Macaca mulatta: one gene and its partner. The protein of the gene in region 1 interacts with the protein of each later gene in a pairwise test. Links are inferred from orthologs where the notes say so. Each region holds a gene or a part of one and is shown on either strand. Other genes may lie near its edges.

Region 1 (7,847 bases):
TGGGTGAGTGGTGGGGCCGCGGAGGTGCAGGAACTCCTGCTTCCCGCACATCCCCGCTCCTGAACGAACTTTCCGCTTCTGGGGAAGCTAGGGGTGGAGTGAGGAGGGGGGTCCGCACTTGGTGGGTCGCCCGCGAAGAGTCCAAACAGGGAAGCGACACGAAAACGCACGCCGACGGGCCCCAAACACGCGTGCACAGACCCACGCCCGCACTTGGGACACGCGAACACACATGCAGTCGGAAAGGACGCGCCCAGTTTTCTACCCTTGCACTCCCAGGGACAGCGCCAATCAGCCCGCGCGGACCCACAGCGGGCAGGGCACTCTGCGGTCGCGCATTGGGTGCGGGAAAGGGGCAGCCCCGTGACCGCCGACGGGGGCGGGCCGGGTGGGACGCACCCAGAGGTTCCTGCTTCCTGGCCGCCCACAGGTGAAGACGAAGACGTAAACAGGCGCCGGGCACGTGACAGCTCCGCACACCAGTGGCCTGTGCCCCCAACCCCACCACGAGGCGCGTTTGCTTGGTTCCAGGCCGGACGGCGTTCCATTCTCCTCCTGGAGCCGGGATAAGCCCTCTCCCAGGAACCGGAGCACAGCGCCCCCTGGAGCCGGGGCGGAGCAGGAGGGCCGGGCTGCTGGGCAGGGCTGGGGTTAACCTGGGCTCCTGTACGTCCTTCCCCCAGCACATTCTTGGTATCTGCATCCCCGAAGGTTTCGGAGACAGGCCCTTGATGGCAGTGGACAGCTGCCCCCGCCTATTCCCGCCAGCCCAGAGAGCAGCTGCCTGAGCGCCTGCGGGTCCCCTTCCTACCCTCACCTCCACTCCTTGCCGGAGTAGGAGTCTCCTCCCCCGCAGAAAATGCATGAGTGTAAACGCCCCCTCAATACCAGAGTGGGCCTAGACCCCTAGAAAAAGGAGGACGAGCCCCTGCCCCCAGGGAATGAGGGAGTGGGCAGTAGCTCGATGCCTTCTTCCCGCCCCACCCCCTACCCCTACACACACGCTGAGCCCAGCTGCCGCCTGAGCTGGGCAGGCTGCCAGAAAGGGGAGGAGGTTCTCGGTGCCCCAGGAGGCAGGGATCAGGGCAAGGCCAGAGGAGGGGGCTCTGTTGGGGAGAGGGGCTCAGTCTGTTCTTGTGAGGCTGAGGGTCTGGGGTGAGTCTGAGGGTGGCTGGGCTGTGTTTCCCTTTCCAGGGAAAAAGAAAGAAAAACAACCCTGTCCATGGAGCTAAAAATAGAGCTGAGAGCCGGCCAGGGCTGTGGCCTGGAAGGGGGGGATGCTCCTTCCTGGGGCCCGGGCGAGCTCTGGCAGGCCTTGGCCCTGCGGGGGAGGGGGTGGTTAGGGGAGAAAGGCTGTCTTTGCCCAGGGATGCAGGCATCAGCTGACCTGACCGGGTCACCGAGACCCCTAGGGGAAAGGCTGTGCGGTAGAATATTTGCGAAGCATGGCTGTAAGAAGTTGTCTGTGTGAGTGACTGTGAATAGAGGCTGTCAATGCGTGAAAGATGGTTAGGAGACTAAGTGCATTTGAGACAGTGACTGGGTGCGAAGGACTGCGGATTGTTGTGGAAGCCTGTGCCCAACAGGCCTGTGACACCGTGTCTGTGTGTGAGTTGGACTGGAAGATTATGGAAAGAAGGAACGCGGACCCACGTGACAGCTGAGACTGCTTGTGGCTGCGTGGTGAGGCTGCATGTGGGAAAGGTCGCGTGGGTGTTAGGGAGACTGTATTGTGTGCGAGAAGGTGAGAATATTTGCGACCTTGAGAAAGTGGAATGTTGTCTGCCGTGCGGCTCCTGTAGGTTTGGGCTGTAGGCTTGGACCGGTTTGCCCCAGTGATTGTTGGGGAGCCAGGGGCCGCTTCTCTCCGAGAAATGACCTCTGTCTTAGCAAGCGGTCCCGAGGGGAGGCTGGGGAGCACGGGGCCGCGCCAGAGGCCGGCCTGGGTTCGCGGGGAAAAGGGCACCGTACCGGGGAGTGGGTCAGGGCCCGCGTGGTGGGGGGCGGCTGGGTGTGTTCTCCGAGGGGGCCGCCAGGTGGCGCCGCCTCTGCGAAGCCCAGGTTGCCGCCTCCAACCCGCCCCTGGTGAGGCAGGTGCGGACACAGCCTCGGCCTCCGACTCGCGCTAGGGCGCGGGGCCCCGGCACCGGAGAGTGGGGGACGGCCGGTCGTCGACCTCTCTCGCTTGGGACTCTGAGGCTGAGAGCGTGTCAAGGAAGCTTCGCTTGGAGAAGCGGAGGGGGAGGGGCGGCCGCCGCCGTGCCGTGGCCCTTTGTGCTGGAACAATGACCAGCTGCCGCTGGCCCCGGGGCCCCGGCTGGGGCGGAGGGTGACCACCGCCGCCGCCGCGTCGAGCCGAACCGAGCCGCCGGACACGCAGTCACAAGGCGTCGGAGGCAGGGCTCCCGACTGCCGCCGAGCAGCCCCTACGTGCGCCCCGGGCGATTCGCGTGACGCGGGTGCCTGCGCGTGTCCCTGCGCGTGTCCGCGTCCCGGGGCGGAGACGCCCCTCGGACCCTCCCCCGCGCGGCGCCGCCCACTCGCACTGGGCGGGGGCTGGCCAGGGCCGGGGGAGCCGCGGAGGCGGGGCCGGGCCGGGCGGCTCCGAGTGGCGGTACGCGGGCCGGGGCCGGAGCCGGAGCCGGGCGGCGCGCCTGTGGAGCGCTGGGGGCGGCCTAGGGCTGAGCATGGAGCAGCGCGGCGGAGGTGAGGGGGGGCCGGGTCTGGGAGGCGGCCTGGGGAGTCCCCAACTTCTGCGCGGTGGAGTCCAGCCGGGAGACAGCGTTCTCCAGACGCCCCCACTTTGTGGAAGGGGGCCTGGGTTCTGGAGGATGGATCGGGGGCTCCCGGCTTCCCGCCGCCGAATGGGAACTCGTGATCGCAGACTTGACCCCGCTTGACTGGTCCTTGGAGTTTGGGTGGCAGGGAGACTTTCCCCAACTCCAGATCCTTCGCCGGCCCTGAACCAGCTCCAGCCCTCAGCTCCCCTCAGCCCGCTAAAAGGGGGGTGCTCCTGGGCCAGAGTGATTGCTCAGGGAGTGCTGGGGAGAATGAGGGGTTCCCATCTCCCACAGCCACAAACGCATTTCTCAAAATGGAGCCTCCACTTGCCCCTCCTTCTCTCCAAGAGCGGGAGCCGGGCTGGCTGGGCCTGGCTTTCCAGACTCCTGGCTCTGGCTCCCTGGGCGTGTGGCTCTCAGGGCCCAGCTCTGTGGCACTTTGGACTTAGGGGCCCTCGGCTCCGTGGGGTTGGGGGCCCTGGCTCACTGGGTACGCCTGACTGTCTCCTTGTCGGCCTGACCCTCGGGCTTCTCCAAGTCTTTGTCTCTTTTGGGTCCCTGTCTTTCTCTGAGCCTGTCTCCTTCCTTCCGTTTTCACTTTCTCCGTGCTCGCTGAAGTGGGGAAATGCAACAGAGGTGCCAGCCCTTGGCCCCCTAAGAAGTCCTTTCCCCACTGTTCACTCCACGCCCTGGAGTGGGCCCAGAGAGGGGAGGGGAAGGGTTTTTCTATCTGCTCTGCTGGGCGCTGGGATGTGTGGGGTGGTCTGAGCCCCCACCCTGCAGAGGGGCCTGTGATCGCTCCCTGCGCCCGGCCTACCCCTCCCCCAGCTCCCCGCAGCTCCTGCCCCAGCCTGGACACCTCTTCCTGGTTCGCAGTATCTTTTGACTTGGGTGGGAAGGAAGGCGGTGGATTTAATGGAGTGCATGCGAGAAAGAAGGGGAACAGATCAGGCAAAGGAGTTAGATAATGTCCCACCTCTCCCCACATGGCAGAGAGGGAAGGAAACAGGCTCCCCCCACCAATGGGCCCTCAATCCACCCAGGCTCCCACCACTCTCATACCTGCGTGCCCACGTTCACAGGTTCCTCTGCACACCCTGGTGCACTCACCTTCCTAGTCGCACACATACATAGGAGATCACACATAAACTCATGAACTTACTGACAAAGCTGTCCAGGCACCATCTCTCCCACACACCACAAACTCACTTGTTAGATCTGCATTTATAACTTTCACAGGCTTTCTAATGACCCCTTACCCACATACTCTTGTAAGATATACACATGTGAATTCACACATGAACTCATGTATGTGAATGTACTGATACATCAAACATGTGTAGACTCACATTCACGATGCTTTCACGCACATTTTCATATACACGTGTTCATTTCCACGCTCCTGTGCATGTAGTCACACAACAAATAACTAAATGCACACATTCCTACTCCCAGTGCAATTCTCTGTCCAGTTCTTGGCCCTGCTCTGCATGATGACTTCAGCAGATGCCTAAGTCCTGGTCATCAGCGGCCTCGGGACTGGGACTAGGGAGGGGGTTCCGGGTGGAGGCTTGCAGCTGCTTCCAGGAAGGAGCAGGGCCTGGGGAGGTGGAGCCATCTTGCCTGGGTTCTGTGGAAGTGAGGTTTTGGAGCAGCCACTAGAGGTGAAGGCGGGACTTCTACCTTCCTCCCCTCGGGGTTAGTCTGGGGACCTTCTGAAGCTGTAGGGTTTCAGAGAGGTTGGCAATGGGGTAGAGCCTGTGGAGGTTCCTTTAGGCCTCACTGATTGGGTGTGCAGAGGCTAGGAGTTGTCATGGAAAATGTATGAGCCTGCATCTACCTCTGGGAGGCAGGAGACCCCAAAGGACACCTGTGGACTCCCTAAGAGTGGTGGTTTTCTTATTTAGCCGGATCCACAGAGGCAGTTTAGCTGCCTCACTGGGAGAAACTGAGGCCCAGCAGAGGGAGGCAGGGCACTGACTGACTTTGGCTCTTCGTTCCCTAATTACCATCTGAGGTGCTGATTGCACCCCTGAGGTACCTCAGCCCAAACTGCCCACCTGACTTAGAGGACCAGGGACCTGTGCTTCAAGCTGGTAGAGAAGGCCCCTCCCTCACCTGAGTCCTGGCCTCTGTGGGATGCAGGATTGGGCTTAGGCCTGGGTCTTTGCTGACAAGTGGCTCTGCAGTAATCACCCACGCCTCCCATCCCTCTCAGCATCTCTGCTGAGTGGATTCAATCCTCAGCCCTGTTCAGACCAGCATTGGACAGTGTGGTCTGGGGCCCAGGGGGAATTGAGGTTCATTCCAGCACTTGAAGGGGGAGTCTCGGTGGGGATCAAGGCTTGTTACTGATGTCAAGGAGGTGTTTGGTCAGGATCAGTGGGTCAGGAGGGGTCTCTAGGTGGAGGGACTCTGACACCACTGCCCTGCTTACAGGTCACCTGCAAGGCCGCTGGCCAGGCCTGAGCCTTTGCCACCATGGCCATTGTGCAGACTCTGCCAGTGCCACTGGAGCCTGCTCCTGAAGCTGCCACTGCCCCACAAGCTCCAGCCATGGGCAGTGTGAGCAGCCTTATCTCAGGCCGGCCCTGTCCTGGGGGTCCAGCTCCTCCCCGCCACCACGGCCCTCCTGGGCCCACCTTCTTCCGCCAGCAGGATGGCCTGCTGCGGGGTGGCTATGAGGCACAGGAGCCGCTGTGCCCAGCTGTGCCTCCTAGGAAGGCTGTCCCTGTCACCAGCTTCACCTACATCAATGAGGACTTCCGGACAGAGTCACCCCCTAGCCCAAGCAGTGATGTTGAGGATGCCCGAGAGCAGCGGGCACACAATGCCCACCTCCGCGGCCCACCACCGAAGCTCATCCCTGTCTCTGGAAAGCTGGAGAAGGTGAGGACCAGCTCTTCCTTGTGGGCCTGGGTAGAACGGGAGTCCCCCTTGGAAAACTGGAATTTAGAAGCTTATATAGAGGAAAGAGTGTGGGCTCCAGATTCACCAGACCTGGGTCCTAATCCCAGCTCTCTCTCATTCTGCATGTGTGACCTCAGGGAAGTCACTTAACTTGAGCCTCAGTTTCTAGAACTGACGTGAAGGTCAAATAATGTATAGCATAGTGCCTAGCATGTGGCATGTATACAGTTGTTAAGTGCTAGTTGCTTATGTTCTGGTTATTTCTGCACCAGTTATATGTTTGGCTTTGGTCAAGGCCTTTAACCTTGCTGAGCCTCCATTTCCTCATCTGTAATATGAGAATAGTGATCATATTTAGATAATGGGGATAAACCTTTCAGATTGCTTGACACAAAGCTGACACTGGTGGCCACCTCCACCAGTGGCCGCAATTGTTACGAATATATGGGCATTGGGGACCCCAGATGGGAGGGCAGGGAGTGTCATAAGGGTTCTGCAAGATTGGGCAGCTCATCTCCACTGTCACATGGCACCTCATTTCAGAACATGGAGAAGATCCTGATCCGCCCAACAGCCTTCAAGCCAGTGCTGCCCAAACCTCGAGGGGCTCCGTCCCTGCCTAGCTTCATGGGTCCTCGGGCCACCGGGCTGTCTGGGAGCCAGGGCAGCCTGACACAGCTGTTTGGGGGCCCTGCCTCCTCCTCCTCTTCTTCCTCCTCCTCTTCAGCTGCTGACAAACCCCTGGCATTTAGTGGCTGGGCCAGTGGCTGCCCATCAGGGACGCTATCCGACTCTGGCCGAAACTCACTGTCCAGCCTGCCCACCTACAGCACCGGAGGTGCCGAGCCAACCACCAGCTCCCCAGGCGGGCACCTGCCTTCCCATGGCTCTGGGCGAGGGGCACTGCCTGGGCCAGCCCGAGGGGTCCCTACTGGGCCCTCCCACTCAGACAGTGGCCGGTCCTCCTCCAGCAAGAGCACAGGCTCCCTGGGGGGCCGTGTGGCTGCCGGGCTTTTGGGCAGTGGTACCCGGGCCTCCCCTGACAGCAGCTCCTGTGGGGAGCGCTCACCACCACCCCCGCCTCCACCTCCTTCCGACGAGGCCCTGCTGCACTGTGTCCTGGAAGGAAAGCTCCGAGAGCGGGAGGCAGAGCTTCAGCAGCTGCGGGACAGTCTGGACGAGAATGAGGCTACCATGTGCCAGGTGTGGTCAGAGGCAATGATGGGGAAGGGGCATGGCAGGACATCCCAAGGCCTGGGGAATGAAAGGGGCATTTCCATTTTAGCAGGGAAGAGGGGTTGGGTAGTTGTAGTTGTGACCCCCCTGCCCTCCCCACCAGTTGTCTGGTTTAATTTGTGGAATAGCCAGACGTGGTGGCTCACATCTGTAATCCCAGCACTTTGGGAGGCCGAGGTGGGCGGATTGCTTGAGCTCGGGAGTTTGAGACCAGCCTGGGCAACATGGGGAAACCCCATCTCTCCTAAAAATAAATTAGCTGAGTGTGGTGGCATGTACCTGTAGTCCCAGCTATTTGGGAGGCTGAGGTAGGAGGATCACTTGAGCCCAGGAGGAGGAGGTTACAGTGAGCTGACATTTTGCCATTGCACTCTAGCCTTGGGTAACAGAGCAAGACTGTATCTCAAAACAAGAAACAAAAAACAAAACTTGTGGGGTGGAAAGGAGTCAGAGTGCATGGATTCAAACCTCCCACTGCTAAATACCAGTTTTTGGACTTGAGCAAGTTGCTTAACTTTATTCAGCCTCTATTTCTTCATCTATAACAGGGATATTTCTAGCTTCATAGGATTGTTATGAGGATTAAATAAGGCAAAAGGTGTAAAGTGCTTAGACTAATGCCTGGTATCTAGGAAATGCTATACATAAATGCTTGCTTTTTTTTTTTTTTTGAATTTTTAGTAGAGACGGGGTTCCCACCATGTTGGCCAAGCTGGTTTCGAACCCCTAGCCTCAAGTGAGGCACCCGCCTCGGCCTCCCAAACTGCTGGGATTACAGGCCTGAGCCACTGCACCCGGCCAAGTGCTTTTTTTTTTTTTTTGAGACAGGGTCTCATTCTCTCACCCAGGCTAGAGTGCAGTGGCGCGATTTCGGCTCCTTGTAGCCTCAACCTCCTGGACTCAAGCAGTCCTCCCACCCCA
Region 2 (7,847 bases), on another chromosome or scaffold:
GCACCAGATTCTCCAGACCTTTCAAGACCAGCTGATGCTGTGTGGAACAAAGCTGAGCAAACCCCACTGAGCTCTGCAAAAACTGCAAGCTCATGAGAAAATGAATCGCTCTTTTTGTTTTAAGACACTAAGTTGTTGGGGTGTTATGCAGCAGCAGATAGTCAGAACAGCAAGAGAGATGGCTGAAGAAAGAAAGCTGAAGGGGTCAAAGCAGAGGAAGAAAGGTAAGAACAACGATGGAGTTGTGGAGAAGACCCAGGATGCCCCTAGGATGCACCCCCATCAATGTCAAAGCTCAAAGGACTTGCATTTCCACACAATTCCTCCATGCATTGGAAATACCTTCACCCTAAAACAACATTTTTCTAGACAAAAATACACAGCCAGACAGTTGGCCAAAGAAGAGTCACTTTTGTGACCTAGCAGGAGGAAGCTAAGGAATACATGCTCACCATAAAGTGCTGAAAGAAGGTGGACTGTGGCATTTTTTTTCTATAGTAACATGTTTCTTACTGCAAAAATAATGTATGCTCATTGTCAAAATACGGACGAGCAAAAAGATAAAAACTAAAAATCACCTGTAAGTTTACCCCCTAGAGATATCTAGGCAGCTAAATATCCCTTTATTCTTTATTTTTATGAATCTATATATTTTTTCTTTTTCTTTTTTCTTTGTTTTTTTTTTGAGACGGAGTCTCGTTCTGTCACCCAGGCTGGAGTGCAGTGGTACAATCTCCGCTCACTACAAGCTCCACCTCCCGGGTTCATGCCATTCTCCTGCCTCAGCCTCCCGAGTAGCTAGGACTATAGGCGCCCCCCACCATGCCCGGCTAATTTTTGTATTTTTAGTAGAGACAGGGTTTCACCTTGTTAGCCAGGATGGTCTTGATCTCCTGACCTCACGATCCGCCCGCCTCAGCCTCCCGAAGTGCTGGGATTACAGGTGTGAGCCACTGCGCCTGGCTATTTTTTCTTTTTCAAAAATAGGTTCATAAGCTACTTGCAGGTTTACAGTCTGCTGTTTTAACAATATATGAATAACTTCTCATGTCATCTTCTATGATATAAGTTTGAATGGCTCTACAGTATTTTATTATATGATTATATCATAACCGTATTACTCAATCCACTCTTTATTGGGCATTTAGGTGTCTGCAAATTTTTTACTCACTGAATATCCCGTATGGATACCTTTGCACACACCCATAAACATTCCCACAAAATAAATTCCTCCAAATGGGATCGTTGTGTAAAGGATATGCAAAATTCTGAGGCTGTGAGTAGCTATTGGTGAAGTACCTCTCCAAGAGGTTGCACCAGTTCATACTTTCAACACATCATATGTGAGCAGAAATGCCCCTTATGTTGAACCGAGTACAAATTGTGGAATTTTTGTTTTGGTTTTAGTTTGTCAATTTGTCAGTTGGCCCATTTCTTCTGGATTTGGTCCACATTTTTCCCCCAAATTGATGAGGCTGAACGTCTTCATGTGTTAGCTGGCTGTTTGTACTTCTTTTGGGAATCACCTTTTTATTGCCTCTAGACACAGGAAGTTTATGGAATGACTTCTTTGGAGAGAGAGAAAGAGAACAACAACTACAGTGTATGAAAGAGAAGGAAATGACGACAACATCACGGAATCCAGACAGAAAAAAGAGGGAGATCTGTTTTGATAGTGAATCTGTCCCAAATACAGATTTCCAGCAAAGAGGACTGTGCAGGCTGAGTTGGGCTTCCCTGATAATAACCTTGGTTCTCAGGACCTGAGCGGGGTTAGAGGTATACAAGAAACAGCTTGCCCTCCCTTCACTTCCTTATGTTATAAGGCATGGTCCAAATATCCCTATTGGTTTTCCAACCTTTATTCTACCAGTCCCAGTGGCTTTAGCAATAGGCATTGGTAAGGGGCAGACAGAAGACAAGTATGAAGTAGCAAGGCAATTTCAAAACTGGGAGGAGCCTTGGAAATAATCTAATCTGGTCCCCTCAATTTAAAGATGAAGGAATATAAGGCTGGAAAGTTGAGATGATTTACCAGCAAGTGGTAGCATCAGGAAGTGGTTAAACAATGAGGGGATGGATTGAGGACTCAGGAGTCAGCTTGAAGGGTCTCCCATTGGCAGATATGGAATAATCTGAGCTTCCAAGAAAACAATAGGTTGTAGTGTATTTGAAAAATACAATTTCCTGAACCCATACTGATAGGAATAAATGAATGATAAATAAGCTGTGAAGAAAGAAAAGCTCTTCCTTATAATAGAATGCCAACAAACAAATGTTGAAAGCATGTGGAAGTCAGCGACTGGCTCTGTGACAAACATCATAGTAATAACTGATTCAGGTGAAAATCATCAGTGAACACTAAAACTGACGGAGTGAAGTTTTAAATATATACATAGTCTCAGTGAATCTCCCCACAAAATACTTATTAATTACAAAGGGAAAAATAGCAATTCTGCAGTAAAGAAACCTGCCACACAGCACCTTAACCAAATGTTCAAGGTTGGCATCACTGTCACGAGACAAATAGACATTCTGCACCTCCTGACAGGACGCACTAAGGAGCGCCCCATGTCACACCTGTGGTATTCCTGCTCCAAATGTACAATCTGAATAGAATCATGAGGAAGCATAAGACAAACTCAAAAGGAAAGATATTCTACAAAACAATTAGAGTACATATTTCCAAGATATCAAGATCATGAAAAACAAAGTAGGTTAAGCAACTGTTTCAGATTAAAGGAGACTAAAGAGACATAACAACTCTATTTAGCATGAATTCACAGACTGAACCATGGGTCTGATTATTTTCTGTAAAGGACATTATTAAGAAGAAATATAAACAAGGTTTACAGATTAGATAATAGTATTATACTGACATTAATTTCCTAATTACGATCACTGTACCGTGGCTATGTAAGGGAATAGCTTTATTCTTAGGGAATAAACACTGAAGAATTTGGGGGTAAAGGGCCATAATATCTATAACTTACTCTCAGTTCAGAAAAACAATGAGAGTCAGAGAACAAAGCAACACAGCAAATGTTAACAATGAGTGAATCTTGTGCCTTTTCTGTAAGTCAGAAATTACTTTAAAATACAAAATTACCAAAAACCTGATATTTTAAAAAGTAAATTACATCATGTTAATACCTTGCTGAAAATATTTTTAAGGCCTTCCAGGGCACTTAGCTGGAAACCTGCAAGGCCGTAAGTGAACTGACAGCCTCTCTCACTATGTTTAATGTCAGCTTGCAGCTTCTTCTCCTTGCTTCAAATATGTCCTGCTTGTGCCTACCTTGTAGCTTTATGTGTGCTATTTCCTCTCCCTAGAACTCTTTTCCCTCAGCTCCTCCACACTGGCTCCTTCTCTTCCTCAGGTCTCACCTTATCTTCCTGGAGGCCCTCCCTGATCACGCTACCCAAGACAGAGCCACTCTATGTCCTCCTTAGCACTTATCACAGTCTATAAGAATCTGGTCCATTTACAACGTCGATCGCCTCTCAGGTCCATCAGGGTATGTACCTTGTCTGTCCTATTCACCATTGTATCCTGGATTCTTCACCAGAACCACAGAACAACGACATGTTTAATACCATTCTAGATACACAGAAAATAAGTTAATTCTTTACATTTGTTAAATGCCTTTGGGCATGAGGGCTTAATTCTTTTGCAGAAGTCTGGTTGAGAAAGGCTGCCAGCCTAGAGCCTACAAATAGTAGGTACCGAGTATCTGTTGCATAATGAACAAGTACAACCTCAAAACCAAATTTGTGCTCTTTCTCTATAATCCTGGTCTTTCTCCTGTATTCACTATACTGATGAAGGTCATGGGCAAGTCTCCAATCATCCAAGCAGACTCAGACCTTGGGTGGTAGGAATTCTACACACCCCATCTTTCTCACTCTCACATCCCCATTCCCTATGTCCCCTCAGTCATCCAGTCCTGTCCCACTGACTTCATTTCTAAATTCCTTTCAAAAGAGCTCAGCATTTCTATTGCCTCTGCCACGTGTTGTTCAGGTCCTCATTATTGGAGGATTATTGCAAATATCCTCCTAACTGATGCTCCTCTTCCAGTTTTACTCTTTTTTTGTCCATACCTTTCATAGCTATGGGAGTGATTGTTCTTAAAATCAAACCTGCTCATGGCATGCTTCTACTTATAACCTCATGGTAATCCTCCATCATCTTCAGGGGAAAATCAAAACTCTTTCACTAGGCCTTGAGTGCCCTCTGGGCCTCAGTTCCTGCCCATAATCCAGCTTCATATCTTGCCCTGTGTCACTAACACATTAGTCCCAGACAGCTCCTTATAGTTCTCCAAACAGACTGCACTCCCTCAGACCTTTGGCTCTTGTCTATCTGCTACCTCTGTCCAGAACATTTTGGTCCTCTTCATCACCTGTCCAACTCCTAAGCACTGTTTACTAATGCAGTCTACGTAACTCCCATCCCAAGAAAGTGTGCTTTACCTGCTGTCCCTCTACCACCTCCAGGCTCACTGCCCACCCCTTTCTGTTTTGTATCTATGTCACTCGAGCTCTCACAGAACTTACCAAACTGACTACCATTATCTGTCCCCCATCTATCTTCCCAACCAAATCCTGAGTCCCTCCAAGACAAAGACTGTGGCTTTTCTTTCTGTGCCCCTGGTACCTACATGGCACCTGGCACATATTAGGCATACAATAGGTATTTATGATGAATGGATGAACAGGACCCAACACATAAGAGGTGACAGAGAAATGCCTACTGAATGAGTTAGTGAGTGAGTAAAACTTTCAAGGAAAGAATGGGAAAGAAGCATGCAGAGAACAAGATCTGAGATTATAAGGAATTATAAGCTCTATGAGAGCAGAAGCTTCATCTGCTTTGTTTGTGTTGTATCCCAGTGCCCAGACTTGGCACACAGTGGGACCTCAATAAATATTTGTTGTTGGCTGTGCCAGCCGCTGTGCTTGGAGCCTAGAGATACTACATTCATTCATGTTATAACAAAGGCACTGTCTTACACACTCTCTTGTACCAAACTGCTGAGATTAGAAATGTAATCCAAAACATTCTACTTCTCTTGATTATACCTTATAGCTCAAATCCCAGAGTAGAAATACAGAAACAAAAGTCTCCTTACTTCGTGACTGTTGGAATAAGACTTTGCTTTCTCTTCACAGAGGTGGAGTTTCTCTCGAGGAGGCTGGAATAGTGCTGTCTGAGGCAGCTTGTTTTGGAACTTCTTACTATTAGTGATGCTAACAGCAGCAACAACTTCATCTAGGTGGTTGGATATGTGGGTTTCCTGTGATTCTTGCATAGTTTTACATTCATTGTCTTCTAATTTTAAAATAAAAAACAAAGATGTTAAATGATAATTTACATAGTTATTTTTAGAAATATACATTTCAACACTATACCATAATTTCTTTGAAATTAGTAGTATTATATCCCAAGATTATGGTGGCTACTACTGACCTGCTGATTTCTACTTTCAACTAAATTAAACCTTCTTTATGTATATGGACACACATATATGTACACATACATATACACACATACATACACATGTATATATAAACACACACACACATAAATGTATATGTGTGTATTATACACATACATATGTACGTATATAAAGTCCAGTAGAAATTAGCTTAGCACATACATATGTATTTATATGTACATATATATATAAAGTCCAGTAGAAATTAGCTTAGCCCAAACAGTTCTCAATGACCCCAGATTAAATCAGCTGAAGCCCAACTGACCCTGAGGTAGAAAACAAATAACTGTTGTTACAACTTTTACTTCTGGCCAAGATGAAGTAATAGTAACTACATTTACCCTCTGGCCTGAAATAACCCAAAACAAACAAATAAACAGCCCACAGAACAAAGGATAAAACAATGGTTTCAAGAAACAAGACAAGCAATGAGAGAGCAATTCCTGAGAGATGGAAAAAATAAATCACCCCAGTTTATTGCTTTGAGAGAGTTTCCAGGAAACAGCACAGGGAGAGGGCACCCAGAAGTTACCCCAGTGGACTACCTGAGTTGAGGAAGTAGAGTTGAGAATTTGGGGAGACCAAGGTGACTAGAACTGACAGAACAAATTACTGAAGAGGAGAAGGCTCCAGAGACAGAGGAACCAAGAGATTAGCAGAGGGACACCCTTAAGTCTAGGGACAGAATACTGATTAGCATGTGCGTAAGAAAATTACTTAAGTCTGGAGAAAGAATCCTTCAACGAAGTTACAGGGAACAGTGTTTTGTGCTCACATAAGGCTGGTGCCTGTTGCCAGCAATCAGACTGAAAAAATTTCTAATTCATGAGGCATTAGATAGATACTCAGAAGTCTTTTATCTCAGTAGGGCTGATAATTAGCTGTAGACTGAACACTGCTCAGATCACCACACAGATCATAAAAAGTAAGACCTAAAAGGATCAAACTGTTTCCAATTGACTTGATTGCACTAGAGGACAATACTCAAGGATATTCATAGGAATACTAAAATAATCAATACCTAACAAGGTAAAATTCACAAAGTCTAATATCCAAAGATTACCAAGCATCCAAAGAAGCAGGAAAACATGGCCCATAATGAGAATAATCAATCAATCAAAACTGACCCAGAATTGACACAGATGTTAAGTTAGCAAATAAAAACATTAAAACAGTTATAATAATTGTATTCTATCGGTTTAAAAAGTTACATAAAGACATGGAAGAAATAAAAAAGACCCAAATGGAACTTCTAGATAGAAAAATTATGTGTGAAGATGAAAATGCGTGGGATTAATGGCAGATTAGAAACTGCAGCTGAAAAGATGAATTTGTAGACATAGCAATAAAAATTATCAAAAACAAAAAAAAAATCAGTGGGCTGCAACACAACTTCAAGTTGCCTAATATATATGTCATTTCAGTCCCTAAAGGAAAGCAGATTGGAGGAGGGACAGAAAACATATTTGAAGAAATAATGGCCAATATTTTTCCAAATTTAAGAAAAAGCATAAAGCCAGAGATCCAAGAAGCTCAATGAACATGAAACACAAAAAACATGAAGAAAACTATACCAAATAAAGTCAAAACATCATAAACAAATTGCTTAAAATTATGATACAGCAAAAATCTCAAAAGTAGAGAAAAAGGACACATTACATATAAAAAATAAAGACAAAGATGATAACAGATTTCTTAGAGGAATAAAAAGCAAACAAGTATGGAAAGAAAAAAGTTGGCAACCTTAAATTCTGTACTTGTGAAAATACCTTTCAAAAACAAAATTTTAAGTAATTTATCACCAGAAGACTTGCACTACAATGTTCTCAAAGAAACAGGCGTGAGCCACGGTGCCTGGCCTGTTTTTTTTTTTTTTTTGAGACGGAGTTTTATCTTGTTGCCCAGGCTAGAGATAGAGCAACGGCTCTATCTTGGCTCACCACAACCTCTGCTTCCCAGGTTCAAGTGATTCTCCTGCCTCAGCCTCCCAAGTAGCTGGGATTACAGGCATGCGCCACCACGCCCAGCTAATTTTGTATTTTTAGTAGAGACAGGGTTTCTCCATGTTGGTCAGGTTGCTCTCGAACTCCTGACCTCAGGTGGTGATCAGCCCGCCTCGGTTGCCCAAAGTGCTGGGATTACAGGCATGAGCCACCACACCTGTCCTGTGTCTTAGTTTTAACAAAAAAGTTTAAAAAGTAAAAAAAGAAAATAAAAAATTTTAAAAATGGAAAAAAGCTTATAGAGTAAGGACACAAAGAAAGAAAAATTTGGCCAGCCACGGTGGCTCACACCTGTAATCCCAGCACTTTGGGAGGCCAAGGCAAGTGGATCACAAGGTCAAGA

The links.
Region 2: the proteins of LZTS2 (region 1) and TTC23 interact in binary tests that used the Homo sapiens proteins (3 or more experiments, as listed by UniProt). The two-hybrid records come from large-scale screens. The link is inferred for Macaca mulatta from reciprocal best matches to the Homo sapiens genes LZTS2 and TTC23.

The regions. Positions count from the first base shown.
Region 1 is NC_133414.1:113,060,818-113,068,664, forward strand, and holds part of LZTS2 (leucine zipper putative tumor suppressor 2), read left to right. Parts: 5' UTR 1-3; intron 4-399; exon of another isoform or gene 400-666; intron 667-1,314; exon of another isoform or gene 1,315-1,744; intron 1,745-2,600; exon of another isoform or gene 2,601-2,706; intron 2,707-4,687; exon of another isoform or gene 4,688-4,817; intron 4,818-5,219; 5' UTR 5,220-5,261; coding exon 5,262-5,669; intron 5,670-6,233; coding exon 6,234-6,893; intron 6,894-7,847. UniProt on the Homo sapiens protein: Negative regulator of katanin-mediated microtubule severing and release from the centrosome. Required for central spindle formation and the completion of cytokinesis.
Region 2 is NC_133412.1:89,485,285-89,493,131, forward strand, and holds part of TTC23 (tetratricopeptide repeat protein 23), read right to left. Parts: intron 5,336-7,847; 5' UTR 5,316-5,335; coding exon 5,136-5,315; intron 1-5,135. UniProt on the Homo sapiens protein: Participates positively in the ciliary Hedgehog (Hh) signaling.